Linked DNA regions of Elephas maximus indicus. The protein of the gene in region 1 purifies or fractionates together with the protein of each later gene. This does not show direct contact. Links are inferred from orthologs where the notes say so. Each region holds a gene or a part of one and is shown on either strand. Other genes may lie near its edges. The genes, in order: ACTR2, CORO1C, ARPC1A and CHURC1.

The links.
Region 2: the proteins of ACTR2 (region 1) and CORO1C fractionate together in Homo sapiens (co-fractionation; 3 studies listed by BioGRID and IntAct, with this or other methods). This does not show direct contact. The link is inferred for Elephas maximus indicus from reciprocal best matches to the Homo sapiens genes ACTR2 and CORO1C.
Region 3: the proteins of ACTR2 (region 1) and ARPC1A purify together in Homo sapiens (affinity purification with mass spectrometry; 9 studies listed by BioGRID and IntAct, counting the BioPlex papers as one, with this or other methods). This does not show direct contact. The link is inferred for Elephas maximus indicus from reciprocal best matches to the Homo sapiens genes ACTR2 and ARPC1A.
Region 4: the proteins of ACTR2 (region 1) and CHURC1 purify together in Homo sapiens (affinity purification with mass spectrometry; 4 studies listed by BioGRID and IntAct, with this or other methods). This does not show direct contact. The link is inferred for Elephas maximus indicus from reciprocal best matches to the Homo sapiens genes ACTR2 and CHURC1.

Annotation. Positions count from the first base shown.
Region 1 is NC_064835.1:71,461,548-71,469,567, reverse strand, and holds the start of ACTR2 (actin-related protein 2), read left to right. Parts: upstream 1-5,010; 5' UTR 5,011-5,106; coding exon 5,107-5,154; intron 5,155-8,020. UniProt on the Homo sapiens protein: ATP-binding component of the Arp2/3 complex, a multiprotein complex that mediates actin polymerization upon stimulation by nucleation-promoting factor (NPF).
Region 2 is NC_064840.1:19,274,570-19,281,449, forward strand, and holds the start of CORO1C (coronin-1C), read right to left. Parts: upstream 3,012-6,880; 5' UTR 2,902-3,011; intron 1-2,901. UniProt on the Homo sapiens protein: Plays a role in directed cell migration by regulating the activation and subcellular location of RAC1. Increases the presence of activated RAC1 at the leading edge of migrating cells.
Region 3 is NC_064830.1:102,789,002-102,796,412, forward strand, and holds the start of ARPC1A (actin-related protein 2/3 complex subunit 1A), read left to right. Parts: upstream 1-4,403; 5' UTR 4,404-4,494; intron 4,495-7,411. UniProt on the Homo sapiens protein: Probably functions as a component of the Arp2/3 complex which is involved in regulation of actin polymerization and together with an activating nucleation-promoting factor (NPF) mediates the formation of branched actin networks.
Region 4 is NC_064828.1:77,215,487-77,223,164, reverse strand, and holds the start of CHURC1 (protein Churchill), read right to left. Parts: upstream 3,019-7,678; 5' UTR 3,000-3,018; coding exon 2,880-2,999; intron 1-2,879. UniProt on the Homo sapiens protein: Transcriptional activator that mediates FGF signaling during neural development. Plays a role in the regulation of cell movement.

The DNA.
Region 1 (8,020 bases):
TCCCAAGTATAAATCCCAAAGCACAGATCCCTACTTTTTTATCATACTTTCACTTGGTCCTGATGTCACTACAATGTTAATTTTATATCATCAAATGCAAAGAATGTTCACGTCAAACATCCAGACCGTCTAGAGTGCTATCAAATATCTTAACGACAATATTTATAAATGTCACTTTAAAATGTAATTAACCTTGAGGACACAATCAGACAAATACAGCACACTGGACATTTCCTACAAGACAAAAAGTGTGAACTCTTAAAAACGTGTCCTGAAAAAAAAAAATCAGAGGGCTATTCTAGATTAAAAGATTACAGAGACATAATGGCAAAAGCAATGTATGAACCTTGATTGGGTCTCAATTCAGAGGCAGAAACAGCTATAAGCATTTTGGGAACAAGTGGAGAGCCATGAATATGGGCTGGATATTAGATAGGATGGAATTATTGCTTATTTATTTTATAGGTGTGATAATAAGACTGTGGTTTTGTAGAACACTGTACTTATTCTTAAAAGGCATATGCTGAAAAACGTAGGCGTGAAATGCCATGAGGAAACCCTGGCGGCGCAGAGGTTAAGTGCTACGGCTGCTAACCAAGGGTCTGCAGTTCGAATCTGTCAAGCGCTCCTTGGAAACTCTATGGGGCAGTTCTACTCTGTCCTATAGGGTCGCTATGAGTCGGAATTGACTCGATGGCACTGGGTTTGGTTTCTGAGTTTTGAAATGCCATGATGTCTGAAATCCACTTTCAAATCAATTAACTTGTGTGACGTTAGCTACTTGCAAAGTTAGGGCATAGTCCACCAAGGCCACTCTCACTTCTGACACCAACTGCAGAGTTCGGTGGTTCTCAAAACCACCCTCAGGTTCAATGATTCACTGGAAAGACGCACAGAACTCAGTGAAAGCTGCCATACCCACAGTTGTTGGTTTAATACAGCTAAAGGATACAGATTAAAATCAGCCAAGGGAAGACATGCACAGAGCAGAGTCCAGGCGGGTTCCAAACGCAGAGTTTCCAGTTGTCCTCTCCCCATGGAGTTGTGGGCAGCATTCACTCCTCCTGGTAAAAATCTGTGACAATACACACAGAGTACTGCTAACCAGGGAAGCTCATCTGAGGCTTGGTGTCCAGAGTTTTTAATTGAGCTCCATCATATAAACATGAATGACTGCCCACATGAATGATCTCAGTCTTCAGTCCCTCAGGAGGTGGTGGAGGTTGAGGTAATACTATGTGACCCAAAGGCACCCCTGGAAATCACTTTGATGCTATCTAGCTGGTCCAAGGCCCCCAGGTGTACAAAGATGCTCCTATGAGGCACAACATTCCTAGGGCTAAGAGATTACCTCCCAGAAGAGAAGGCAAAGGCCAGACCTCTCTCTTTGGGCAAGGTTAAATTCTTTAGAACACAACTTGCTTCCAACTAACTTGGTTTAATACTGTTTGTTAATATAAATACTTATCTTCGCAACATAAATAAAAATAGCTTGGAAGAAGTTAGATAATTGACAATATAAAGAAGTACTTTTCTGTCATAAGTACAAGCCTTTTGGTTTACTGACTTATAAACCAAACAATTAAATAAATCACATAGATGGCCCCTTCCTGAGTTTTTCAGGTACAGAATAAGAGAGCTAGATTAGATAGCTACAGTAATACTATCAGGTTGTAAAATGAGTGAACATCTTTGGATGGAATTAAAATTCTGCCCAAAACATTCTGTTATGGATTGAATCATGCCTCCCATAATTTATGTTGAAGTCCTAACCCCTGGTACCTGTGAATGTGACCCTGTTTGGAAATAGGGTATTTGAAATATTATCAGTTAAATATCAGACCATACTGAAGTAGGGTGGGTCCTAATCCAATCTGAGTTTGGTCCTATAAAAGAGGAGGAGAGACAGAGACAGACAGAGGAAAGATGGCTATGTGATGACAGAGGCAGAGTTGGAGTTATGCTGCAGCTGCAAGTCAGTGATATCTGGGGCTACCAGAAGTCAGTAAAGACAAGGAGGAATATTCCCCCAAAAGACCTGGGAGACAGCATGGCCTGACCAACATGTTGATTTGGACTTCTAGCATCCAGAACTGTGAAACAGTAAATTTCTCTTATTAAAAGTCACCTAATTTGTGGTATTTGTTATAGCAGCCCTAGGAGACTAATACAGATTCTGGTTCCAGAAAGGGGGATGTTGCTGTAACAAATACTAAAAAAAGTAGGAGTGGCATTGGAATTGGGTGATGGGTAGAGGTTGGAAGAGTTTTGAGACGCCTGATAGTCAAAGTTCAGAGTGCCTTCAAGAGACCTCCGGTGCGGGCTCAGAAAGAAGTGTAAACTGCAGAGAAAGCTTCTATCATGAACAGAATGTACTAGAAATGTGGACGTTAAATATGCTTCTGGTGAGACCTTAAAAGGCAATAATGAACATTGTTAGACCTTGCTAGCCTTACTTTTTTAAAGGCCCCAACTCCCCCATTTGTAAAATGGGGATATCTACCTAGCAAGGTTTTTGTGCAGGAAAACAGAAGGCAATGAGGCCCCCAAAATTCAATAACCTAAAATGTGAGGTCGCATTAGTAAGAAGTCAGTGGAATGACTAGGATGTGCCTGTCTGGTGGGCAGGAGCCAGTCACCAATAGTGTTGTATCTGGATCTACATCATCAAGGGGTTTTGCTGCATTTTCCATACTGTACTCAACAGGTATTTGCTGACATTTTCTACATTCTGCATGACTTGTTTTTAAAATCAGAAGAAAGTAATAAATGTTATTTCTTAAGAAGTAAAAATTAGTAATCCATTTCATCCCATAAGAAGGAAAAGTAAAAGACCACAGAAACGTTTGAGATCAATTTGCTAAGACCAATTAAATGTACTTCCAGGAAAACTGCACTGTGCTAGGCACTGGGGCCATAAAAGTAAGATATGGACTCTACTGGAGAAATTTATGAACTAATGCAGTATTTTTCAAGGTGTTCAGAAGGCTGAAGTACCTCAACAGCTGTTGAAGCAGGTGAAGGGAGAGCATATTACCCTGAGGCCTCCTACCCTCTCCCACTTCTCGATCTTCCAACTGCAGCTATGGCAGCTTTGCTTTTTACCTATTTGATATGTTGGGGTTCCATAAGATAAATTTGAATAAAGGATTCTATGCCTTTAAAAGTTTGAAAATCATTGGTCTAATAAAAGAACAAGGAGCCCTGCTGGTGCAATGGTTATGTGCTTGGCTGCTAACCAAAAGGTTGGTAGTTTGAACCCACCCAGTGGCTCTGCAGGAGAAAGACCTGGCAATCTGCTCCTGTAAAGACCGTTGTTGTTCGTAGGTGACGCTGACTCGGTTCTGACTCATAGTGACCCCATAGGAAAGAGCAGAAATGCCCCATAGTGTTTCCAAGGACAGGCTGGTGCATTTGAACTGCCAACCTTTCTGGTTAGCAGCCAAGCTCTTAACCACTACACCACCAGGGCTTCAAGCCTAGGAAACCCTATAGAGCTGTTGTACTCTGTCATATAGGGTCGCTAGGACAGCACCCGACAACAACAAATGAAAGAACTAAGTGAAAACAGGAGGCAGACTGGTATTATAGAAAGAATACTGTCTGGGGCTTCAGGATCCAAGTTCTACTCTAGTTGTACATGCTGTGCAGCCACGTAGAAGGTACAATTCTAGTTATCACATCTCTAAAATGTCATTTTCCTAGATAAACGTTAATGTCACTCATTCAATAAATACTTGTCCAGTGTAATAAGGTTACAACGAGGTTATTCATATATCCGTGCTAAAGTAATAGCAAAGAAAGGGAGTAAAGAGCATGTGGAGGATATCTTGATGTGATAAGTTGGGCCAAACCCACTGCTGTGGAGAAGATTCTCTCACAGTCACCCTGCAGGACAGAGTAGAACTGCCCCATAGCTTTTCCGAGGCTGTAAATCTTTATGGACTGCCACATTCTCCTCTGGAGTGGCTCGTGGGTTTTGAACCGCCGATCTTTCAGTTAGCAGCCGAACGCTTTTAACCACTGTGCCACCAGGGCTCCTCGAGAAGTTTCTCAGCTGATTAAAAAGAGAAAAAAAGTGGGGGCATTACAGATAGAGAGAACTGCACTGTTGAAAAGTATGGAATTAATAAACAGCTACCACTGAATGAATGCTTAGTCCATGCACAGAATTTTGTCCTCACAACAACCCGTGGAAGATGTCATCCCCACGCACAAACAAGGGTACACGCAAATCATAGAAGTCTTCATTGGCAGGGGCTGATTTGAAACTGGGGCTGTCTGATTCCAAAGCCAAGGCTCTGGTTCAAACATGTACATGTACCGCGCAGGTGTGAAGTAGCACGGGTGCTGCTGAGAGACGGAAGTGGTGAGCGAGGAGGCTGGAAACGTAGGCACTCGCTCTCGCTCTCTTTACTGTGGAGCAACTTGGGCAAAGGACGATTGGGCTGGAAATGGAGATATCAGTATAAATCCATGATTTCGAATAAATACGTGTGTGTATCTATCCCAGCTCTGTCTACTGAGAAGGCCTCGACTGGAAGCAATGACACACCAGGCCACGTTCAATGACGGGGTCTGCAAGGACTTCGGGTTTGCTCCCCGCCCTCCCAGCTGGCTTCTCTGCCACCTTCCATCGCCACCTCGCGGCACACCTGGTGCCCTTCACCTGCCTCCGCCTTCTGCATCGTGCAGCAGCACCCTCAGCTCCTGCGACGCCTTCGGGAGAAGGCCACAGACCCACCAGGTCGGCCGCCATTAACGCCCCAGAAACACCAGGAACCGGGCGCAGAAAGGAAGAACCTGTGTGGGCGGTGCCCGTGGCAGCGGCGCTGAAGCCCAGAGGGGTGGGCGGGGCCTTCGGCTCCTCCGTTTCTCATTGGAGTTTGTCCCTGCCAGTCGCGGCCTCCGCCCCACCTCCTCCGAGCCGGCCGTCCGGTAAAAGGCGGGCGGGGCGGGGCGAGGCGGGGCGGGGCGGCGACTTCCGGTTGGGGAAGAAAGTTGGGCCGAGGGAGGGGCCGCGAAGAGGAAGGAGAAGGAAGAGGAAAGGCCGGGCGGCGGTGTCTGTAGGTTGTGCGGCGACGGCGGCTCTCCCCCGGGCGGACGATGGACAGCCAAGGCAGGAAGGTGGTGGTGTGCGACAACGGCACTGGGGTAAGCAGCCGGCGGGGGAGGCGGTGGCGGGCACAGGCCCCGGAGGATGTGCGGGGGGCGCGGGGGCCCTTAGTGCCCGGGGCTCGCCTCTGGGCCCGGCCCGCCGGGGCGAAGGGGGAGCGGCCCGACGCTTCCCGCCTTCGCGGACTCGGGGAGCAGGCGGGCCAAACCCTCGGCCCCCGGAGCCCGCCACCCCTGCAGCCGGCCACCCCCGCAGCCCTCCCTGTCAGGGCTGCGGGCGAGGTCGGCGGCGGACGGGAACCCTACCTGCTGGCCCGGCGGGGGCCGGCTACGTGCACGCGCGGGGGCAATGTGGCCAAGATGCCCGGAGGGGTGAAAGGCAGGGTTTGTGGGATTCAAGATGGGTTCATCCCCAGGGTCGCCAGTGTGCAAAAAGGAGGAAGACCAAGAGGCCTTCCTCTTCCTGTATAGTTGAAGATACTGAACGGGAGGCAGGAAACGGGTTTAAAGAAAAAAAAAAAGGAAGTGCTGTCTGTCGTGCGCGCAGTGGGCCTCACCCCTTCGCAGTGAGGTTTTTTTTTTTTTTTTGAGGAGGGGGAGGCTCGTCTTTTTACTTTTTTCTGTATGTTGGTAATTTGGCCCCTTTGCAGTCCGGCGGAGACCACGTGCTCCATAGGATTATCCTGGGACATCTAAGACCCCACAAGGCCGCAGTGTTCATTCCACTGTCCTTGGGGGGATGGGAGTTAGTCAGTTTTGGTCTTCTGCCCCTTTTTTCCTTAGGTGCAGAATACAGATTTAGTCTTTAAGATCCTAAAATGCAAGCAATTGTAAAAATCCGACGAGAGCACTGATTTAGAAACTATTTGAAAGTTATTTCTTTCAAACGCCCTCCTATAATTAAAAAAAATGTATTTTGGGCAGCGGAGTCAATCAGCAAATTAGAAGATGGAAAGGTTACTTACTTTGGACGGGTGCTATACTGGTCATTTTCCCCTAGGTTACAGTGATTTCTAACCGTTTTGTAGTTGCAACGTTTTGTGACATATGAATTAAAATAGATTTTACTTATACTTTAAAATAAACACTTTGGAAACTGGATTGTTCAGGGTGAAAAATACCTGGTACTCACTTCCATACTACTGCCCTTGATTGAATTTGTTACGGATTTTTTTTTTTTTTTTTACAAGCAATAATTATACTAGTTTCATCTGAACCAAGTTACAAATTGACGAGAGTAAAAAGTTACCATATAACGGGACATCAATGCAAAATGGAGTACTTAAAAAAACGGCAGACCCACTGCTGTGGAAACATGTCTGAGATGTATCCTGAAGTTTTTTTAAAAAAAAGCTTTAGAATGATTCCATGTAATGTGTGCGTTCTTTATTAAAGATACTCATACGTCCACACACTGGTATCTATATTTAAAATTTTTGGAGGAATGCATAAGAAATGCCCATAGTGGTTGCCTCTGAGACAGGATAAGAGTAAGGGAAGTGGGGAAGAGGACAATTTTTTTTTACTATAAGCATGTATTACTTTTACAGTTAACTCAGTTAAAGGTGCTTTTTAAAAAAAGTAGTCTGATTTCCACTAGTCTCAAGCTGACCTCTAAATAAATTTAAAACTTTAAATTGAACTGAAATACTTTATTGTGTGAATAGGTCTGATATTCTCTTTAGAAATCTGAGCAACTTGTATTTTAATGGAGTTTCTCATCCTTGGGGGATTCTAGGCAACGAACCCTGTATTTGTAGTCTGTATTAGTGTTCTCATACTCTATTAGAATATGAATGTTAACTGTAAGGTGGCTCGTTTTTATCTTACTATTTTGTCAGTTTTGCTGATATTAGAAAGCCGATTGCATATATGTCATGGATTTGTTTTGTATCCATAATTTAAAATTCTAGTTTTTTAAGACAAAAGATCAGTTATGACATAAATGAGAAAAATGTAGTTAATTCAAATAAGAATGTATGTATTTGGTGTTGAGTTAAGGTTATTTTTGAAATTCATTCAGATTTTTTGTAGATAAACGCTTGGCTTAAAATGAAGAAACAGCTCTGGTAATATGTAATCAGGAATGCTGTGATATTTCTAAAAATTTGGAGGGTTAAGGACCACTTAGATTCTGTATTCTGTTTCTTACTGCTTATGCTTCTAGACTTGAATAGTCATCTTGATCTTATTTTATGTGCCTGAAGTCATAGTGTTTCCTTTACAATTACATATTAAAGAAGATATTCAGATTTAATTTCTAAAAATTATTTTTAAAAAAAAGCTACTACCCTGAATTATTGTCATTTGCCCTTTACACACTTGAGGTTTTAAAATTCTAATCTATTTGAGAAGTTGATGATTTTTTTAACCCATCTCACAGGCCCAAAATTGGATGCTCTTAGGAGTGGATGGGTTTTTATGATCACGTACCAGACACTGGTCCTGCTCCATTTCCTCACCAGCCCCCAACTAGACCACTGTTTCATTAGGGTGAGCTGTAGGAGGAATACTTAAAATTTATGTGCTTTGGCCTTATAACTGTTCAAACCTGTCGGCTAGAACAGAGCCCTTGAAAACAGACAGACAGACAAAACTCTGGAGACCTGTGGGGCTCTAGGTTTAGGTGCCTTTGAAGAGTTGGGCCCTAGAGTTGTGTGTATCCTGTTACCAAACTTGGATGGTTTCATCAGTAGTGAGTGAGTTCACCAACAACAGTGAAGACTTCCTGGGTGCCTACTGTGTGTGTTATGGCACAATGCATAAGATCTGGTGATACAAAGTAGTGTATGCTAGAATAATTATATTTTCATTTTTAATACACATTTGTGGTTGATAAAAAAAAAAGCCCCCAATGCTGTTGAGTCGATTCCGACTCATAGCGACCCTGTAGGACAGAGTAGAA
Region 2 (6,880 bases), on another chromosome or scaffold:
TAGGTACTAGGTCATACTGAAATATTCATGAGGTTTTCCTGTTTTAATACAGAAAAGGCATCTTAAGTTAAAAAGGACTTTCCCAGAAGTGTCAGAAAAAGAGTTTTCGGAACTCAGGGAAAGGAAGGTATCAAACGGAAAATAAGCTTAAGAGTTTTTATCACATGATTTTGCGCCCTGAATATGAAAAGTGGTACCCAAATTTATTATTGCTCCACCCACAAAAGAGGTCAAAGGTAAACAGCCTAACTAACAATACCTGTTTCTAAAGCAGCAGTTTGTGACAAAGTAAAATATTAAGAAACAAATATTTTGCAATCATGAGAATTGAAGCTTTCACATTCCCAGGCATATAATAACTAAAAACTAATCATTTATCCTTTTGGACATTCCATTTCACAGGCATTAGAGCAACTCTGCTCCTCATGGTTGGAGCAGATCCCAGAAGTGACAGATGCGTTAAGCCTACAGTTTAAATTTAAAAAATCCAACAGTGTTTAAAAAATATTTGCCAATCCTGCATCTAATCCTAAACTACACAGACAGTAAAAGACATAAATGCTGATTAGTGTCATCTATAGGCAAAGTAATAAATGATCATGAAAAATTCCATACCGTGTGCAGTGATATTTCACTGGCATGTCCTCCCCCCACCAAAAAAAAAGCAAACCCATTGCCACTGAGTTGATTCTAACTCATAGCAACCCTATACGATAGAGCAGAACTGCCCCATAGGGTTTCCAAGGCTGTAACCTTTACTGAAGCAGGCTGCCACATCTTTCTCTCACAGAGCAGCTGGTGTGTTTGAACTGCTGACCTTTCTGTTAGCAGCCGAGCACTTAACCACTGCGCCACCAGAGCTCCTTCACTAGCATGTGTCTATTAAAATTCATTAGGCTTTAATGTACCGTTAACATGAACTCAAGAACAAACACAGACAAGGCACATTTTGGATTTATGAAAAAAGGTGTGTTCCTGGCTTGTATGACCCACCTTTGTTCAATCCTCAGTGTACGTGACTATCACCTACCACAAAATAGTGTACTTCAGGGTCTAATGTACTGTATATTTCTCTGTATTAATTCACTTTTTTCTTCCCTATCAATTTATGCAATTGCTCAGCTCCAGTGCTTACTATTAGGCTTCATATCCTAACATTATGACTGGAACATATCTCCACGCCAAATAAATGTTTCCGTAAATCAGCCTTCTTAAATGTACAGGCTCATGTCCAAAAGGGGCTTTCTTCAGTTTTGTAGGGAATGAAGAGAGTGAATCAATATTAAACAGACATGTATTAGCCACTGCTTACACTTAACCATGTTCCTGTCTATTCCAGCAGGCCCTGGTGTCAGGAGGGATTTCTGCCAGATAAGGACAATGAGATGCATTATTATATAGAGTGACTAAGAGCCCTACAAGCACTGTTTTAGAACGTAAGCCCAGGCAGGAAGGTTGGTTGTGCTAAGAGGATCTAGTATTCTGTGATAACTATTTCCAAAAGTCAATATATGTGCCACCCAGTACCAGTTTAAAAACACGCACTAAATTCGATTCCTTTAAAATGTCTTATGGGAAAGAAAGGCTATCCTGTAGATGAACAACTTGCAATTTGCTTCTCACTGTGAATCCCACGTTTGCAACACGTAGAGCAAGCACTTCAGACACCACAAAACAAGGGCAGCCTACATTAAGGCCAAATATAGGGTGTGATCCTAAACCATGATGCAGTTAAAGCCTACATTTCCTTTTCCAGCGCTGAAAACCCTTTGAACACTCCCAAAAAAGGACCGCAGGGCCTGTGCCTCCCTCTAAGAGGAAGCCCCTTTCTTCTCCGCTCGCTCCCCGCAGCCTGCGGCTTCCCCCTACACATTCAAATCACTGGAGAGACAGAGAGCTGGTGGTGTGCCTGCGCCGGTGTGGACGGCGGGAGGGCTCGGTTCCTGCATTTTCACCCTCAACATCTGACCTCATGCTCAGTCACTGGGGCGCTGCGGAGCCCCACCTGCCCCCCGCTCCTTTTGATTACTCCCTCCAGCTGCCCCACTAAGAGGGGAGCACATCCCTGGATCTCCCCGTTCACTCTCCGCCCCAGACCCCCCACTCTGCAGCGACCCTGCTCCGGTCTTCCTCTTGCCCCCGCCCCCGCCCCCTCCACCCCGCCAGCCCCAGCCCTCGGATCCCTCGGTCCGGCTCTGCCTCCTCCCAAACCGCCCCCACCCATATTACTCCAGCTCCAGCCCTGCCCCGCCCTTCCCGGGCCCCTACCCCAGACCTTCAGGGCTCAAAGCTGATCTTGCACCCAGAGCCCGGCGACCCCCAAAACCCGGGGGCCACCCTCGCGCCGGCCCCACACGAGCCCGGTCCCTACCCACCCCCACCCATTCGCTCCCTAGGGCGGCTCAAACCCCGCCCCCAGGCCTGGCGCCTCGGGGCCCTGCTCCCCAGCTGCAAGCGGCCCCTCCTCACCAAGCACTTCACCCATCGAGGGGGGTCTCGGACTCCTCTGAAACCTCCCTCGGGCAGCCCCCTCCGCACTAGCCCCCACCCCTCCCTCGGCCAAGAAGGTCCTGAACCCCTAAAAGCCTCCCCTGAGCGGCCCCCTCCCCACACGGACCCGGGCCCATTCTCCCCAGGCCAAGTCGTTCTCTCCCCAAACCTCCCCTCATCCAGATCCCCAGCCTCCCGCAGCAGCCCCCGGCCCTAACCCCTGCACATCGGCCGGGGCGGACCCCGATCCGACTATCCGCGCTCCACGCGCGGACCCCAGTCCGCTCCCCTCCACTGGGCCCTGCCCCACGCCCCGCCGACTCCTGTCAGCCGGCACCGGCACATGCTGCGAGGACCGGTTCCCGTGCCCGGCTCGCTCCCGAGCGGCCCCACCGGGCGCGCGCCGCTCACCAGGGCCGAGGTGCCTGAGGCGCCGCCGCCGCCGAAGTCCCCGCTGCAAAGCCGGGCGAAGCCTCTAACCGCTGCCGCCTCCGCCTGGCACTAAGCGCCGCGCGGGGGAGGGGCGCGGGCAGCCGCCGCTGCTGCCGCTCTCAGACCCCGCCCCCGCGCCGCATCGCGCCCAACCAGGGCCGCCAAACTGGGGCGGGCCCCGCCCACTTCCGGGAGGGGAAGCCCGCTTCCCACCCCTCGCCCCGCGCCCGCTAGCGCCACCTCTGGTCGCGCCGAGGGATGTAGGTGGGGCCCGGAGGAAGGCGGTGTCCAAGCGTAAGCACCGCCCACCAGTCATCGAAGAGGCCGCAGGGCCACGCCCACAAGCTCCTCCGAGCCACGCCCATTGCTTCAAAGAAGCCGACGCAGGCTTCTTACAGCTCCGCACATCGGTCCGCGAGGCTGTGAAGGGCCAGGACCCTCCGGCCCCGCAAGGATTCACCCACAGTCCCTTAAAACCCGAACATCAGCTTCTCTGAGCCCCGCCCGCTGCACATCAAAAACCCTTAAGCCAGCTTCTTGGCTCCCTAACCCGACTTCTTGCCCATGGCCTTAGAACTCACTCGTGGGCGCCACTAAACACCGTTTCCCCACCCCGATTTCCAGAAGCCCCGCCCACAAATCCGGAATTCTATTCGCGACATCCCAGAGTCCCGACCTCTGCCCCGAATTCTAGAAGCCCCGCCTCTGGCTTCAGAAGCTCCGCCCCTGCTCCCTTCACACCCTCCAGCCAAAGTTCCAGCCCTCCCTCCACCTCCCACTCCCACATTCCTAGTACAGATTGGCAGCCCCTGGGCTGGGCCACACACACCTAACCCCCCACAGTTACACAGGAGGTTCTGTTATTGACCACGTTTCGCAGGTGAGAAAACAGAGGTTCCAGGCTCCCTCCCTTCCTTTCCCTGGCCAAAGTCCTTCACTTTGTCTGCTCTGGCCTGAAATTCAGCTGGTTCCAGTCGTAGCTCTGCACCTGTCAGACTGTGTGACCTGGGGCAGTTCCCTTCACCTCTCAGCCAAGCGCTTAACCACTGCACCACCAGGGCCCTTTCCTAATATTTAGCTTGAGGAAGTTGTCTGTCAATAGCCAGAGTCCCTTTCAGGTTTGGGAAAGTTGGGCAAGAGGAACGGAACTGACAAAACAACTGCTGAGAGTTAGGGCTATTTACTTCCCAAATCCAGGCATGTTTGCCATTGACACTGGGACTCTCATTTTAAACATCAGCCTCGGAGGGACATGTGTCCACCTAAACCAAAACGTCTACCAATCACTTTCACAGCAAATTACTTATCCTCTCCTCAATTTCTTTATCTGTAAAAATGGGGGGGTGGGGTGGGTAATAGCAGTCCCTCCCTTGCAAGATTGTGGAAAGAATTCCATGAGATCATCTTTGTGCCTGGCTTGGGAAAGCCCACCAGAAATGGTACCTGTTGCTACTGTTGCTGTTATGGAGAGGTGGCTTTCACTTTGCCTTCAAGTAGCCACTGCAAAAAAACAGGGCCTCATTCACCAGACTGAGTCCAGTAAAACTACATGGTGCCCAGCTACCACCACTGACTGCTCTGACAGGGCTTACCATAGAGGGTCCTGGACAGAGCTGGAGAAAAATGTAGAACAAAATTCTAACTCAGAAAGAAAGACCAGACTTGTTGGCCTGACAGAGACTGGAGAAACACAGAGTATGGCCCCCGGAAACCTTTTCAGCTCAGTAATGAAGTCACTCCTGAAGTTCACCCTTCAGCCAAAGACTGAACAGGCCCATGGAACACAACAAGACTAAAGGGGCATACCAGCCCTGGGGCAGGGACTGAAAGGCAGAAGGGAACAAGAAAGCTGTAATAGGGAACCCAGGGTTGAGAAGGGAGAGTGTTGACATGTCGTGGGGTTGTTAGCCAATGTCATGGAACGATGTGTGTACTGTTTGATGAGAAATTCGTTTGTTCTGTAAAGCTTCAACTAAAGTACAATTAAAAAAAACAGGGCCCCCTTTCTGCACAAGATTTTACACTTACTTCATTTAAATGAGATAAAGAGGTAAAGGACCTAACACCCGCAAACAATTTGCTATCGTTATGATTCTTATCCTTAATTAAACGAGGTGCCTTGATAGCAGTGGGTTCTGATTGGTTTGGGGGGAAATGAGGGTTAATAAAGCTCTTTGAGATTGAACCAGGAACCAATCTGGTTTACTCTTTAGAGACAAATTATCGTTAGTATTTATTCATGACTTATAGAAGCAGGTGCTACACTGAGCGCTTCACATACAAAATTGCCTGAAAACTCCTCAACAATCCTATGGCCATAGAAACAATTCTTTTTTTTTAATTTCATTGTGTCTTAAGTGATAGTTTACAGCACAAATTAGTTTCTCATTCAAAAATTTATACACAAATTGTTTTGTGACATTGGTTGCGATCCCCACAATGTATCAGCACTCTCCTCCTTTCCCTTTCCACCCTGGGTTCTCCGTGTGGAAGGGCAGTTCCAGTTTTCCCATCCCTTCCTGCCTTCTCATCTTTGGTTTTGGGCAGGCGCTGCCTATTTGGTCTCATACACTTGATTGAACTAAGAAGCACATTCCTCATGTGTGTTATTGTTTGTTTTATAAGGCCTGTCTGATCTTTGGAAACCCTGGTGTGGAGTGGTTAAGAGCTATAGCTGTTAACCAAAAGGTCAGCTGTTCGAATCCACCAGGCGCTCCTTGGAAACTCTATGGGGCGGTTCTACTTTGTCCTATAGGGTCGCTATGAGTTGGAATCGACTCGATGGCAATGGGTTTGGTTTTTGTGGTTTTGGTCTCATCTTTGGCTGAAAGGTGGACTTCAGGAGTGGCTTCAGTTCTGAGTTAGCCGGGTGTCCAGGAGCCATAGTCTCGGGCATAGAAAAAATTATTAATCCCCACTTTATAGGTGAAGAAACTGAGATTTGGGAAGTTAAATGACTTGCCCAAGGTACACAGCTTGAACCAGGCAGAGCTAATACCGGAACCCGCCTCCATCTAATTGCAGTACTGCGCTCTTTGTCGTTACACTCAACTGCCTCCATGACAGCGTGATGGAATAGAAAAGCCATGGACTTTGGATGCTGACAGAGCTGGATTTAAATTCAGGTTCTACCACTTATCAGTTGGGTGTCCTTGGGTAAATCACATTAGTCTATGGACCCTACTCTTCTCAACTGTAAAGTGGGAGTCATCCAAATGCTTCAGTCATGGGGTGGTTTTAAAGATTCAATGAGTTAACCCATGGTGAGCACCCAGCACTATGCCCAGCACATACCAAAAAAAAACCAAACCAGTTGCCATTAAGTCATCTCCAACTCATGGTGACCCTATGTGTGTCAGAGTAGAACTGTGCTCCATAGGGTTTTCAGTGGCTGATTTTCCAGAAGCAGATTACTGGACTTTTCTTTCAAGTTGTCCGTGGGTGGACTCGAACCTCTGAACTTTTAGTTAGCAGCCAAACTTTGTACCATTTGTACCACCCAAGGACTCTTATGCCCAGCACATAAACCAAAAACCAAACCCGTTGAGTCGATTCTGACTTACAGCGACCCTATAGGACAGAGCAGAACTGCCCCATAGGGTTTCTGAGGAGCGCCTGGTGGATTCAAACTGCCGACCTTTTGGTTAGCAGCTGTAGCTCCTAACCACTATGCCACCAGGGTTTCCACCCAGCACATAACCCCAAAACCCAGTGCCATAAAATAGTAGGTGCTTAAAACATGTTGATTCCCTTCTCCCCAGTTCCTTAAATGATGAAATTAGAAGTACGATTTCCCATGACACTAGTTCCTCCCAGATGACACCATCACGAAGGTCATCAAATACACGGAGAAAGAAGAATGGCAAGACTTTTGCCTTACAGCTGTGTGTTTCAGTGCCTCGTTTTGTCTCTGTGTTGGAGAGGTAATTCTTGCAGACAGTACCAAAGCCAGAAGCAA
Region 3 (7,411 bases), on another chromosome or scaffold:
ACTGCAGATAGGTGGTGGCTGCACTTAAGGTGCGCTGGCTGGAAATCGAGCCCAGGTCCCCCGCATGGAAGGTGAGAATTCTACCACTGACCCACCACTGTTCCCTCATTACAAATCACATAAGTCTTAAAAAAAAAAAAAAACTAATATTAAAAATTACTCCTGAACAAAAACTAGATAACTGGGAGCTCCTAAAAATCAAACACTTATGCTCACCCAAAGACTTCACCAAAAGAGTAAAAAAATTACCTACAGACTGGGAAAAAGTTTTTAGCTATGACATTTCTGATAAGTGCCTGATCTCTAAAATCTACATGATACTGCAAAAACTCAACTGCAAAAAAGACAAAAAACCCAATTTAAAAATGGGCAAAAGATATGAATAGGCACTTCACTAAAGAAGACATTCAGGTAGCTAACGGATATATGAGGAAATGTTCACGATCATTAGCCATTAGAGAAATGCAGATCAAAACTACAATGAGATTTCATCTCACTCCAACAAGGCTGGCATTAACCAAAAAACACGAAATAATAAACGTTGGAGAGGTTGTGGAGAGACTGGAACACTTATACACTGCTGGTGGGAATGTCAAATGGTACAACCACTTTGGAAATCGATTTGGCGCTTCCTTAAAAAGCTAGAAATAGAACTACCATATGATCCAGCAATCCCACTCCTTGGAATATATCCTAGAGAAATAACAGCCTTTACACAAACAGATATATGCACACCCATGTTTACTGCAGCACTGTTTACAATAGCAAAAAGATGGAAGCAACCAAGGTGCCCATCAACTGATGAATGGATAAAGAAATTATGGTATATTCACACAATGGAATACTACGCATCAATAAAGAACAGTGAGAAATCTGTGGAACATTTCATAACATGGAGGAACCTGGAAGGCATTATGCTGAGTGAAAAGGACAAATACTGTATAAGACCACTATTACAAGAACTTGAGAAATAGCTTAAACTGAGAAGAAAACATTCTTTTGTGGTTATGAGGGGGGGAAGGAGGAAGGGTGGGAGAGGGGTATCCACTAATTATATAGTAGATAAGAACTACTTTGGGTGAAGGGAAAGACAGCACACAATACAGACAAGGTCACACAACTGGACTAAACCAAAAGCAAAGAAGTTTCCTGAATAAACTGAACGCTTTGAAGGCCAGCGTAGCAGGGGCAGGGGTCTGGGGACCATGGTTTCAGGGGACATCTAAGTCAACTGGCATAATAAAATCTATTAACAAAACATTCTGCATCCCACTTTGAAGAGTGGCATCTGGGGTCTTAAATGCTAGCAAGCAGACATCTAAGATGCATCAATTGGTCTCAACCCACCTGGATCAAAGGAGAATGAAGAACACCTAGGACACAAGGTGATTACGAGCCCAAGAGACAGAAGGGGCCACATGAACCAGAGACTACATCATCCTGAGACCAGAAGAACTAGATGGTGCCCAGCTACAACCGATGACTGCCCTGACAGGGAACACAACAAAGAACCCCTGAGGGAGCAGGAGAGCAGTGGGATAAGCAGACCCCAAATTCTCATAAGACCAGACTTAATGGTCTGACTTGAGACTGGAAGGACCCCGGTGGTCATGGCCCCCAGACCTTCTGTTGCCCCAGGACAGGAACCATTCCCAAAGCCAACTCTTCAGACATGGATTGGACTGGACAATGGGTTGGCGAGGGATGCTGGTGAGGAGGGAGCTTCTTGGATCAGGTGGACACTTGAGACTATGCTGGCATCTCCTGCCTGGAGGGGAGATGAGAGGGTGGAGGGGGTTAGAAGCTGGCGAAAAGGACACAAAGAGAGTGGAGGGAGAGAGCAGGCTGTCTCATCAAGGGGAGAGTAATTGGGAGTGTGTAGCAAGGTGTATATGGGTTTTTGTGTGAGAGACTGACTTGATTTGCTTAAAGCACAATAAAAATTATTAAAAAAAAAACCTCCTTCTTTGGAAATCCAATAGCTTTTACGCCCAGCTTCATGGTATAATGGACTAGGCATCAAAACGCCAGCCCTGTCACTGATTTATATCGAAACCTTCAAGTTTTTAAAACCCCTGGTCCCGTTTCCTCAATTACATAATAACTTGGCTTAACTTAAAGGCTCCTTTCAGTCTGGAATGACTCATAAGACATGAAATAAAATACACCAAATCGTAAGCTTTGTTTACACTAAAATGCAAAATGCTGATTTAAAAGCAGAACCAGAGATTACTATTAAATGTGCTTATCATTTGAGGGAAACTAAGTTATTTCTTTTATCATTTCTCATATAAAATCTGATATTGTTAATTTGCATGTGTTATTCTTATTTCTCCATATTATAACAAAAAAAAGCAAACCCACCGCCATTGAGTTGATTCCAACTCATGACCACCCCATGTTGTTACAGAGTAGAACTGCTCCATAGGGTTTTCTTGGCTGTAATCTTTAGGGAAGAAGATTGCCAGTCCTTTCTTACAAGGCACTGCTGGGTGGGTTCAAACCACAAACCTTTAGGTTAGTAGTTAAATGCAAACTGTTTGTGCCACCCAAGGACCTCGTCCAGATTATAAACTTCTTAAAAGAAGAAACTGTCCTTCATATAGCTGTGATCCAGATAAAATACTATTGGTATTTTAACTCTGGGTACCAACTCTACCAAAGAGCCCTGGAGGCACAGCATTTAAGTGGTCTAATGTTTGGCTGCTAAATGTAAGGCTGGTGGTTCAAACCCACCCAGCAGTTTCATGGGAAAAAGACCTGGTGATCTGCTCCTATAAAGATTACAGCCTAGGAGACCCTATGGGGCAGTTCTGCTCTCTCACAAGGGGTTGCTACGAGTCAAAACCGACTCAGCACACAACAACCAACTCTACAAGATTCCTGGTGGTACAAATGGTTTGTACTTAGCTACTAATCGCTATAGGCAGCTATGAGTTGGAATCGACTTGACAGCAATGGGTCTGGTCTTTTTTTTTTGGTTTACTAATTGAAACACTGGCAGTTCTAATCCATTTGGCAGCACCGCAGAAGAAAAGACCTGGCAACCTGCTTCTGTAAAAATTACTACCAAGAAAACCCTGTGGATCACAGTTCTACTCTGAAGCACACGGGGTCACCATGAGTCAAAATCAATTCGAGGCAACAGGTTTGGTTTTACTGGCTCTACCTAAGTTGGGAACTGCCTCCTGTAACTTCAGGCCATAAGGGATTTTGCTTTCCATCCATGCTGTCCTTCCTTTGCCAATAGGTTGTCTCTTAGTGGGGTTATTAACTTAACCTTTTTGCATCTCTACCCTACCTGACCTTGTTCCCCCTACAACCAAAGACTTTGCAGCCATGGGACAGAGTAAAACCAATTCCTTCCAGTTCATTAGTGCTACATGAATAGCTGCATTAACTAACCTGAAAGAACGCAGTGTGGCTATGAAACTGGGAGTTCACACAATCCAGCGTTGGGCTCAAGAATGGAAACCACCAAAGGGGACGACATAGGCACTCAACTACTAAACTAAAAGTTGGTGGTTTGAACCCACCCAGCAGTGCCACAGAAGGCCTGGCGATCAGCATCGTCAAAGATTACAGCCAAGAAAACCCCAGGAAATTCTACTCTGTAACGCACGGGGTCCTATGGGTTGGCAACGGGTTTTGGTTTTTGGCTGTTGACCCGTAGTGGCACCCAAGGCAGGAGGGTTGCTCCATAATTTCTATGGGTTCGAAGGCAGCAATCTAGTTGGAAGTGGGGTTCAGGGCATTTCTCTGAAGCTTCACCTGCAAAGGAAACAGTGTCTTCACGTACTTTTTTTTTCTTTTTTCGGGTTGTTAAATTCCACCAACTCCTTTTTTTTTTTTTTTTTTTGGAGGCACCTTGGGCGTAAGAAGCAAGTGATTCTGACGGAGGAAGGGTAGAGAAGGTTCCAGAAGGTTCCCGGGGAGGGAACATGGCAGAGGCGGCCCGACCGAGGGCAGGGCGCTGCTAACGGCACTGGAAGCGCTCGGAGGCGGCCTGGGGCCGGCAGAGAACCGCAGGGAGCCGAGCACCGGTCGCCCCTCTGACCGTCTCTCTGAAGTGACAGAAGCGTATCCGCTGGAAGGTGCAAAGGGCTCGAGACGCTCCAACGCTGAAGAATTCACCGTGTGACAAGGGCCCTTGTGAAAACGCCACGGCTCCGCACTTCGGCCTGAGATTCTGGGCAAGTTTTTCAAGAAAAGGAGACTCGCATGCCCTTTGGTGGCGCGGCGGCTGAGGGTCTCCGCGCTCCGCCGCCACATCCGGCCGGCGCCCCGACCCAACGCCTGGGCTGTGCGCGTGCGCGGACCTCCCCCACCCCCGGCCGGCCGCGCTGCGCAGGCGCCGTAGCCACTTCCGGAATCTGTCAGCCGCTCCCTCCCGGCCTCCGGCCTCCGCCCGCGCCCGCCGGAGCCTGTTCGCGTCGACTGACCAGAGTCCGCGAATTCGCCGCTCCGAGCCGGACCGGACTGCCCCGATCCCAGGTAAGGGGCAGCGGGGGAGCTTCAGGCGCTGGCGGCCTCCGCGGTGCCGGGCTACAGCCCGCGGGGGCGGCGAGACGGGGGCTTAGGCCGTGGGGCCCCGAGGCTGGGGGGCGGCCCGGGTCTCCAGCCCCGGGCCCCGTTCTCCAGGGTCCCCCCGAGTCTTTGGGGTCCCCACACGTACAGATCGCTTTCCTCAAGACATCAGGCCGCCTCCAATGCGAGAATTAACGGCTTCCTCTGCACCCCCAAGCCCCTATTTGCATCTCTATTGTAGGCATTTATCGCAGTAAAATTGGGAGAAGTGGGATAATGTCGCTCTAACCGGGGCGTCACAGGGACCATTAATTTCTTTCTCTAGCGACTAGAATGGGTCGCGGCACACAGTAGGCACCCGTGGCACCTGTCTAGGGCAGCACTCAATCTTTCAGTTATTGGGGGATCCGCCTGAACTCTAGAAAAATGTACTCCCCACCCCAGATCCTTAAGATTCCTCCCCTCCAGTGCTGCCTTCCTTAAAGTCTCAATTGCACCCTCCTCCGATCTCCTCTTGCACATTTGCTCTTGACCTAAAGGTTGGTAGTTCGAGCCCGCCCCCATGGTACGGAGGAAGAAAGACCTGGAGATCTGCTTCCCTAAAAATTTGAAAAAACAAAAACAAGCCTACTGCCATGGAGTAGATTCCGATTCATAGCGATCCTGTAAATTACACCCAAGAAAGCCCAATGAAGCAGTTCTTTTCTGTAGCACATGGGGTCGCCATGAGTCAGAATCCACTCCAGGACAACCAGTTTGTTTTTTTGTTTGTTTCTGCACTCCTTTTCCGTCACATAGGGTCCGAATTGACTGAGAGCACCTAACAACAACACTTGCTTAGCGGAACCTTTGATGTAGCACCTTCCACATTCCAACCACCCAGTCGGACTGCCAGTGTTCTAAACCCGCTTTGTTTATTGGGCGACCATCGGAAGATTGCTTCTCTGTCTCTGTTCCCTTTTGCAATAGGACAATAATTTTGGTAACCAAGTCTCAGAATTTTTCTGAGTATCATATGAGTTTATTTGCATAAATTGCTCACAGTTGCTCCTGGACCAGAATAGGTGCTCAGTAACCATTATGGGTTATTACTGCTCCTGGGTATTCTATGCATATTTATCTTCTCTTCCTCACCCCCTTTCCCAGACCTTAAGGGCCAGGAAGATGCCAGATTTTTTTTTATACGAGTCGGAATCAACAGCAACAAGTTTGGCTTTAGGCTTTTTGGCCCCAACCAGGTACCTACTCCTCTGCTAGGAACATGACTTCTTGTTAGCTGCCATGGAGAAGGCCCGACTCACGGTCACCCTAGGCACAACTGAACAAAACGCTGCCCAGTCGTGCGCCATGCTCATGATCAGCTGCTGATCCAACTGTTGTGATCCGTAAGGTTTTCATTGGCTGATTTTTGGAAGTAGATCACAAGGCCTTTCTTTGTAGTCTTAGTCTGGAGGCTCCGCTGAAACCTGTTCAGCATAATAGCTAGGCACTGAATAAATGGTAGCTTAGAATCTTTGATTATAAAGCCACCTGCTCTCATACTGTGACTTTGGAACCTGAAGGAGATTCTAACCTACTTCCATTTCAACTCATTGCCTAAATTTCCTAAATTATCTTGGTTCTTCTCTCCTTGGTTCTTCTCTCAGTTTTATTCAACCTTTCGGTTTCAGGTGATTGTTATTAGTTGCCATCGAGTTGATTCTGACTCCTGGTGACCACATGTGTGCAGAGTAGAACTGCTCCATAGGGTTTTCAAGGATGTGACCTTGTAGAAGCAGATCGCCAGGTGCTTCTGGGTCGGTTCGAACTGCCAACCTTTGGCTAGCAGTCGAACACTTAAATTTTTGTGCCACCCAGGCTTGCTGTGGATTTTTCAGGTGTCTAAAAACAAAAGAGAGGATAGCAGTCAGGAAGGTGTTTTTGGCCCACTAAGGAGTGTGTTTAACTATTGGCCACCTCTTACCACAAAGTACTCAGAGTCCTTCAGGAGTTAATTCATCTACTACTCACAATTAAAAAGCAAAGATGTCACTTTAAGGACTAAGGTGGGCCTGACCCAAGCCATGGTGTTTTCAGTCACCTTATATGCATGCGAAAGCTGGGCAATGAATAAGGAAACCTGAAGAAGAATGGACACCCTTGAATTATGGTGTTGGTGAAGAATGTTGAATACACCATGGGCTGTCAAAAGAACAAACAAATCTGTCTTGGAAGAAGTACAGCCAGAATGCTCCATAGAAGTAAGGATGGTTAGACTTTGTCTCGCTTTGGACGTGTTATTAGGAGGGGCCAGTCCCATGCTTAGTAAAGTTGAGGGTCAGCGAAAAAGAGAAAGACCCTCAACTAGATTGACACGATGGCTGCAACAACGGTCTCAAGCATCTGGGATCATGAGGATGGCACAGCAATGGGCAATGTTTCGTTCTGTTGTGCATAGGGTCAGTATGAGTTGGAACCAGCTCCTTGGCACCTAACAACAACAACTCGCAATTAAAGGAGGGAATTATCTCAGAAAATTAAAACTCCTGCTTTGGAGGGGGAGTGACAATATTTTGATCCAGTTATCTAATCCTATGCAGAAATGGTTGTTCTTTATAAAGAAGTTTAAAGGGGTCTGCCAGTGAGGCAGTGCTGGCATTACAGCCTGTCTCGGTGAGCACCAGGGAGGGTGGGGTGGCCTGGTAAGAGTGCCTGGTGTTGCCAGGTTGGGCAATGAGAGCAATTAGAAACAGGATGAATCACAGTCCTGAAGACTGACTCTAAACCAGGAACTGAAAACCCCACTGGTGTGAATATCTTGAATGAAGCCCTGGAGGAGGAGGGCCAAGAGTGTAAAGCTTACGTAAACTTTTCCAAGTTCAGAAGATACTAACCAGTGTGTACT
Region 4 (7,678 bases), on another chromosome or scaffold:
GTTAATTTCTTCCGAACAACAACAGGAAGATAGCTCAGTTTTTTTCAGTGGGACTGCCCCACAGAGTTTCCAAGGGGCACCTGGTGGATTCAAACTGCCGATCTTTTGGTTTGCAGCTGTAGCACTTAACCACTATGCCCCCAGGGTTTCCTTAGTTCCTTTAAGGGTCACCTATCCCATTTCTGAATACCTTTTAGAAAGTTCTTTATCCTGACTCAAAATGTACAATAACATAACATCCACCCACTAATTACTTCTAAATCCACCTTCTGAATTTCCAAAGAAAAGTTTAATTCTTCTTCGTGACAACCCTTTAATTATTTTACAACATAATAAAATCTGAGAAAAGTGTGCTTCTAGGCACTTTCCTGGTTTTCCAATCACCTCAATATGTTTTTCTACTCTTTAGTTCTTACAGTTTCCTTTATTTTCTTTCCTAAATTAATTCATTCTTAGAAACACAATTCTTAATTCTGGCTGGTTCTCTACTTCCCCAGCGGGCAAATCCTTTCAATTTTGACATTTTTATTTGACAGACTCATTTGTTAACACCAGTCTGAATCTCACATCCAAACTGCAATTTAGTATCTTAATTTGACTTCTTAGATGCTATATTCTGTACCTCAAATGAAACACTATGAAAACAATCTGAAAACTTGGGCCCAAATTTTGATTCTTTCTCCCATATGCCTCCAATTTCTATAATGATACTTCCAATTTTCCAGTTGCCTAAATTGAAAACCTTAAGATCATCTAAAGTTTTTCCTTATTGTTTTCCTCCTACATTAAATTGGTTGAGTCATTTTAATTCTTTCTTTGAAGTGAGGTCTTCATTACCTTATGTCTACACTACTGTTACCATGGCTTCCCTAAATGTTCAGTGTGTTTCTAGGCTCTCCTTTTTATAATTGCCCCTATCCCCAGTGTCTATAGCATAAAATTTAAAAGTCTCAATCTCATTTTTAAGTCTTTGAACTAGCTCCACTCTCAAGAATCTAATCTGCTCTCTTCAAAACTTCTTCCTCACGGTCCCTGAATTGTGCAATGTTCATTATCAGATTCACAAAAATACCTTTTTAATTAAAAAAAAAAAAAAAAAGAATACAGAAAGGTGCATGAAACATAAATGCACAGCATATTATAAACTCAACACCTGTGGATTACTGCCTGCACCACAGAAGCCCTCCCCCCATGTGAGCCTTCTCGATCATTCCCTTGATCATTATTGCCCCTTAGCAGTAACCACGATTACTTTATAACTGTTTGCTTTCTTTAGAGTTTTACCACCTAGTTATCAGAAAGCAAGTTGCCATCAATTTTGACTCACGGTGACTCCATGTGTATATATCCTTAAATAATGTATTTTAGTTTTGCCTGCTTTGAATTATACTTTATGTATTCTTTCATCAACATTGTATTTCTACAGCTTATTCAGGTTGTTGTGTAACTTTAGGTTGTTCATTTTCATTGTTCTAATTCAGGGTTTCTCAACCTTGGCACTGTTGACATTTTGAGTTGGATAATTCTTTGTTGTAGGGGGCTGTCCTGTACACTGTAGGATCTTTAGCAACATCCCTAACCTCTAGTCGCTAGATGCCAGCAGTACTCCACCCCCAAAATGTGACAACCAAAAATGTCTCCAGACATTGCTAAATGTCCCCTGGAAGGCAAAAGCACCCCCAGTTGAGAGCCATGGTCTAATTCACTTTCATTGCTCATTCATTCAGTGTTCTATTCTATAAACATATCGCTGTTATTTCTCCAGTCTACTACAACTAATGCCTTTTGAACACTTATACATGTCTCCCGGGGCAGATGTCCATGAATTTCTTTAGAAGGGGAACTGCTGGGTCACTCAATATGCACATCTTTAACTTCATTTGATAATGCTAAACCTTTTTCCAAAGTGGCTGGACTATATGAGAGTTCCTGCTGTTGTATCGTTCTGAAAAGACTTTGGTATTACTCACAAAAATCTAAGATACAGAAGCAACTAGGTATTTTCTACCTCCCAACCAATGCAAGAATCCTCGTTATTATTTTCCACAGCCTCGACACATCCTTTCCTTCTCTTCTACCCTAATCACAACTATTAAGTCTTAATCGAAGTCCACCTTCAATTAGGTGGATAAAAGCGCTACCTCCGACTGCTCTCCCCTTTCTCTAAACTTGATGAGCATTTATGTGGCACTCATTTTTTGATTAATCACACGCTTTCCCCCAACTCTTACACAGGGCAGGTCTTGCCTTTCTTTTATCTCCTTTGGTGTCCCTTTCTGGCCTAACAAAGAAATCTAGCTACAGACATATAAATGCTGGATAAGTATACACTGAATGAATGAGAAAGACAAGTTTTGCAACCTCCTGAGTCTAAAAGGAATAAAAAAGTTACAAGGTGGACTGCTGGGTGAAGTAACAGCTGGAAATCTTAATTCTCGTCCTGCCTTCAGACTAACTAGAATGTGAACTAAAGTCATTTCTGCTCCTCTGAGCGTTTCTTCATCTACAAAATTAGATTAGAACAGATTTTAACTCAGAGGTCCCTTCCAGGACTAGAATTCGGTAAGAAAACTGAACTTCGTCAAACCGAGCTCGAGAATGAGCCCAGGATGGGTGAGCGTCCCTCTGTTGTCCGCTAGAGCTCAAAAGAAGGGGGTGTCAGCTAAAATCAATCACCAATGCGGGGACCAGAGAGAAGAGACGGCCACAGGCCGTCCCGTGTCACGGGCCTGAAGAAAGCTACCGGGTCACTGGCCCGGGCACTGCGGCTCAGTGTGCCCCGCGCCTGCCTTTCAGGGAAGGCTGGCGGGGGTACGAGAAGCCTCAAGGGCCAGCCATGGGCCGCGGGGGCGGGAAGTTCTCGACGTCCACTCGCTCACCCGGTTGGGATACTCCTTCTCCACACAGTCGCCACACATCGCGACGCCGCTAACACGGAAGGTCCTCCAGCGTCTCCGTGAAGACGAAACCTCGCGAGAGCTAGGAGAAGATTGTCGCATGCGCTCCAAGCAGTCGACCTTGAGGGGGTTGGTCCCGGGAACGGAGTCGAAGTCTCCGCCCTTAGCAACTGTTGTTAGGGCAGGGCCTGGTCTCCCGGGCAACAACGGTGGGCTCAGGGTACCAAAACCAAGCCAAACCCTTTGCCGTAGAGTCGATTCCGATTCATAGTAGGATGTCGGATATTTGGGAGAGCCGACTAGCTGAGGGGACGGGAAGGGGACGTGATCTTGGACTGAGCAAAGTTCTAATAGGTGCCTTTCTGGTCTTAGGTTGACAGACAAATCACAATACACAGGAAAGAGAATTGTCTTTTTCTGCCTCGGCTTACTCCATATATCACACTGACCTAATAATTTAAATACTTTCCTGCACCATTTCTTAGGGAAGCGAGAGTGGTAAGAGATGAATAAGCAACAACTGAAGTGTTTGGGAAAGAGGCATTTAGAGATCTGCTGAAAATCTCAAAAGAACACTTAAAATGTTAATAATAAATGACCATCTCAGAGTCATTTGGAGAAAGAACATAGCTTTGGAAAACATGTTTCTATCTCCGTGACACAGAAGCACCTCAGAGGCAGGCAGGCACTATAACAAAACAAAACAAAACTGTCGTCGAGTTGATTTTGACTCGTAGCAACCCCATAGTATTTCCAAGGCTGTAAATCTCTTCTTTTGCGAGCCGCTGGTGGTTACGAACAGCCAAACCTTCGGTTAGCAGTCCATCGCTTTAATCAATGTGCCACTATGTAAACAGAAAACGTCCAGGTCAATTATCCCGGCATCACTTCTCAATGATTGATTTCAAAGAGAGCAGCGGTGCTTCAATGATAGAATTCTTGCCTTCCATGATGGGAGACTTGATTTGATTCCCTGTCAATGCACCTCAAGAGCAGCCACTACCTGTTTGTCAGTAGGGGCTTGCGTGTTGCTATGATGCTGAACAAGGTTTCAGCGGAGCTTCCAGACTAAGATGGACTAGGAAGAAAGTCCTGGCAATCTACTTCTGAAAATTAGCCAATGAAAGTCCCACGAATCACAGCCATGGTGGGGATAGTGCAGGACTGGGCAGCATTTTGTTCCGTTGGGCATGGGGTCCCCATGAGTCGGGGCAAATCCCATGGCAGCTAACAGCAACAATACCAATTTCGAGATTTTAAAATACTTTCCATTGGTACCTTGGCTCTTCTTTTCCCTCTTTATTATTCACAATGACATAATTAACCTGAATACTAATCTCCAAAATCCACTTTGCACTTCTGAACAACCTGTCCTCATCATATCCAGCTATTCCAACAGAGATATTTAATGAGAATAGCAGTATCCTTCCTTAACCCTGCTTTATTGCAGTCAGGTCAGTGAAGATATGGGGGAGCATATGAAACTCTGGCATCCAGATTCTTTAAAGAAGAGATTAATAACCATTTCAAAGCAAACTAGTTTAATTGGGTTTGCTAATATGGTGATTATATCTCCACTGTCAGATTGGAATTGTAACATTTAGCATTTTGGTCTCTGGGAATGGTCTGCAGCTGTTACTAGAAATCAGAGGCATGCTAAGAGCATGAGCTAGTGCCCTCAGAGTTCATTTTACTTGGAATAATCATAACACTTCCCATACCTATGACATTTTCAAGCTTTCAAAGTGTCCTCATTTCAGTTTCTAATTTTATCCTTATTATAACCCTAAACAATGAGAAAGAAAAGTGTGTCTTCTCTTTTCAGATGAGACAATCAAGGAAATAAGGTTAGCAGCTGAGCACATTAACCATGTGCACCATCCAGGAACACCAGTGTAGCTACTAGAAAATTTTAAATTACATATATGGCTCAGATTATATTTCTATTGGATATTGCATGTCTGTACAATTCTCCCTTGTGATCCATTTTTAAATACTTCCTCTCTTTTTAAAGTCTAATGCCAAGTTTTATTTTTCTTAACCATGGTATCTATTTTACTCAATTCTGTAGACATTTGTTGAGTACCTTCAGTGCTTAGGGAACTGCGGGCAACAGGAAGATGAAAAAGACATTTTCCTTCCTTTCCTACCTTACATTAGCTCACAGTAGAGCCCGAGAGATAAAATGAGCACAAACTCCTAAAATTACTGACAATTTGTGGTATTAAAGCACAAAATGGAGAGAATACTTCCAGGTGAGGGGTTGGGAAAGGGAAATTTGGACCTGGAAAGATGTAGAGGAATTAAAAAATCAGAGATTTTTAGTATGGGAATTTCAAGTGGACCATGCCAAGGAGTTTGGATTTTATTCTGTAGGTTCTAGGAAGTCAGTGAAGGTTTGAGCAGGAGAGTGGTATCAGAGTTGTGGTTTAGGAGGATCATTTATCAGCCTTTTGTTGGGACTGATCAGAGCCAGTCAACTCATGGGATCAGAGCAAGAAGAAATTGAAGATGTAAAAGGCAGACACTAACAGGTACCACAAGGGGGAGATGTATAGCTTTCTGCCTCACAACTAATACAGACCATGTATAACAAAAAAATTTAAAATAAAATAAAAATTACAGTGCAGTCTCAAATCTCAAACAGCATGTCCTTTTGTACATCTATTTTATGTTCTGAGGCATGAAAGGCAATCTACATATTTGTGAGGGTCTTTTTTTTTTAACTTTCCCAGAGTGATATCATATTTTTTTTTATTAAAATAAGCAAGTAAATAAAAAATTCCTCTTATTCATAGGCATAAGAGTTCACAACTACCACAAAAGTTCAACAGCTACTGGTTATCTATCCAGTGAAGTCCACCATTCAAATCTGGCCACACAGAGGGGAGAAAGCAAGTGAGCCTGGAGAAAGGGAGTGAACAACACTAGAAATTAGTGTGATTGTAGTAACAGAAATATGAAAGTATCTCAGGTTGAAAGATGGAAGAAGGGGAAATAGATGTTACTATTAGCACTCAGAAGGAATGAACATAAAATAATTTTTAAGAACCTAAAATACTACTACTACTAATTCTCTTTGCTTTTATAAGGAATTATATAAAATAAAAAATGCAAAAAACTAATGCTAATAATAATTCTCATTTCTTTTCTCTTATAAGGAATTATATAAAGTTTCCAGATACCATTTTAGGATTACCTTCTAACAGAATTTTCATCGTGTGATGTCAACGACGTGTATCAAATATAGCCATATGTTGCAGTTCATGCATGAGATTGCCTCTTGGTAAAAAGAATCAATTGAGGAAAATCTAAACGTTAAATGGCCCTACTTGTTGCCTCAATTACATGCTCTAAACTACATTCCTTTAAAAGTGCCATTTGAATCCCCTTTTAACACCCTCTTTCTTTTATACCTTTTCTCTTTTATGATGCCTAGTCATGGGCTAGTCCTTTGTTTAAAGGGATGAGGAAGCACCCAGAAGCCTTTATGGTGCCACTGTCAGGCCAATTTCACTGGTGGAGGAAAGCTCATCTCTAAGTAGGCTTGGTGAAGGTGTGTGTTATTCTTTCCATTGTCTCAAGGAAAGTGTGAAATAAGAGTCTTTGGTTGTCTTTACCTGGTATCACCTGCCTGTGTTGAATGAGTTAGCATGATTCTAGGTGAACACAGTGAACAGAGGCTAGCCTGGCCTGAGGGCAGTTACCAGAGCATCGAAAGTTTCAGGGTCAGCAGCTTTTATTAGTTTGGTGGCTGAGTTGGACTTTCTTCCCTTTTAGGGAGGGCAATTAACAACAGCAAGGACAATAACGACAGAGTTTCCCTAGCCCACTTTGGGCTACTTCCCTTCTTCAGATTATAACCTAAGAAAGTTTCCTCTTCAGATTATAAGCATCAGCTTTTCAAACACATGGCATTTAAAAGCAAGGGACTGAGATATCCTTTAAATTTTGAACTGAAACCATTCCCAGAGGTCACCTTTCAGCTCAATAACAGATTGGCTCATAAAATAAACAATATCACCCATAAGTACAGTGTCCCTTAAAAAAAAAAAATGAGGTCAAACACTCAAAACGTACCCTAAAGCAAAGATGAGAAGATCAGGGAGGGCAGAGAAGCTAGATTAATGGAAACGGAACAACCAGAACAGAAATAAGGAGAACGTGGACACAGTGTGGAAAATGTAACCAACATCACTGACCAATATGTGCAGAAATTGTTAAGTGGGAGCCTAATTTGCTGTGTAAACTTTCACCAAAAACACAATAAAATATTTAGAAATAAATAAATAAAAGCAAGGGAATCGCCACTGTTTCCCTTTCAATCCTTTTCCTCAGCGCTCCTCACTTTCTTCTCAGATACAGATGATTTGTTCCATATAAAAACTTCGCAATATATGCCAAAATCTGATGTAGCAGCCTTTGGAGGAGTATTATCTCGCAAATTTTACATAGATTGAATGGATTTACTAATGAAAATATAACTGGGTTTTAGGTATGCTTTCATTTTATTGTGTGTATGTTTGTTCTTTTCTAATACATACCCCAAGGATATAGTCAGACTCAGAGCAGACTTTTGTTTTATACTCTGTGTATTGACTTTGAGAGATTAAGGCATTTGGAATTTTTAGAGGAACTGAGGGAGAGAGGAAAAGGAAGTCAAGAGGCTCCTGTTTTGTCTTGCAGAATGGCCCAGCAGAGGGAGGGTTTACTTTAAGGTTATTCAGGTACAAAATTCATAGGAATCAAGAAGCTTGGGTAATTTTTTTTTTTAATAATTT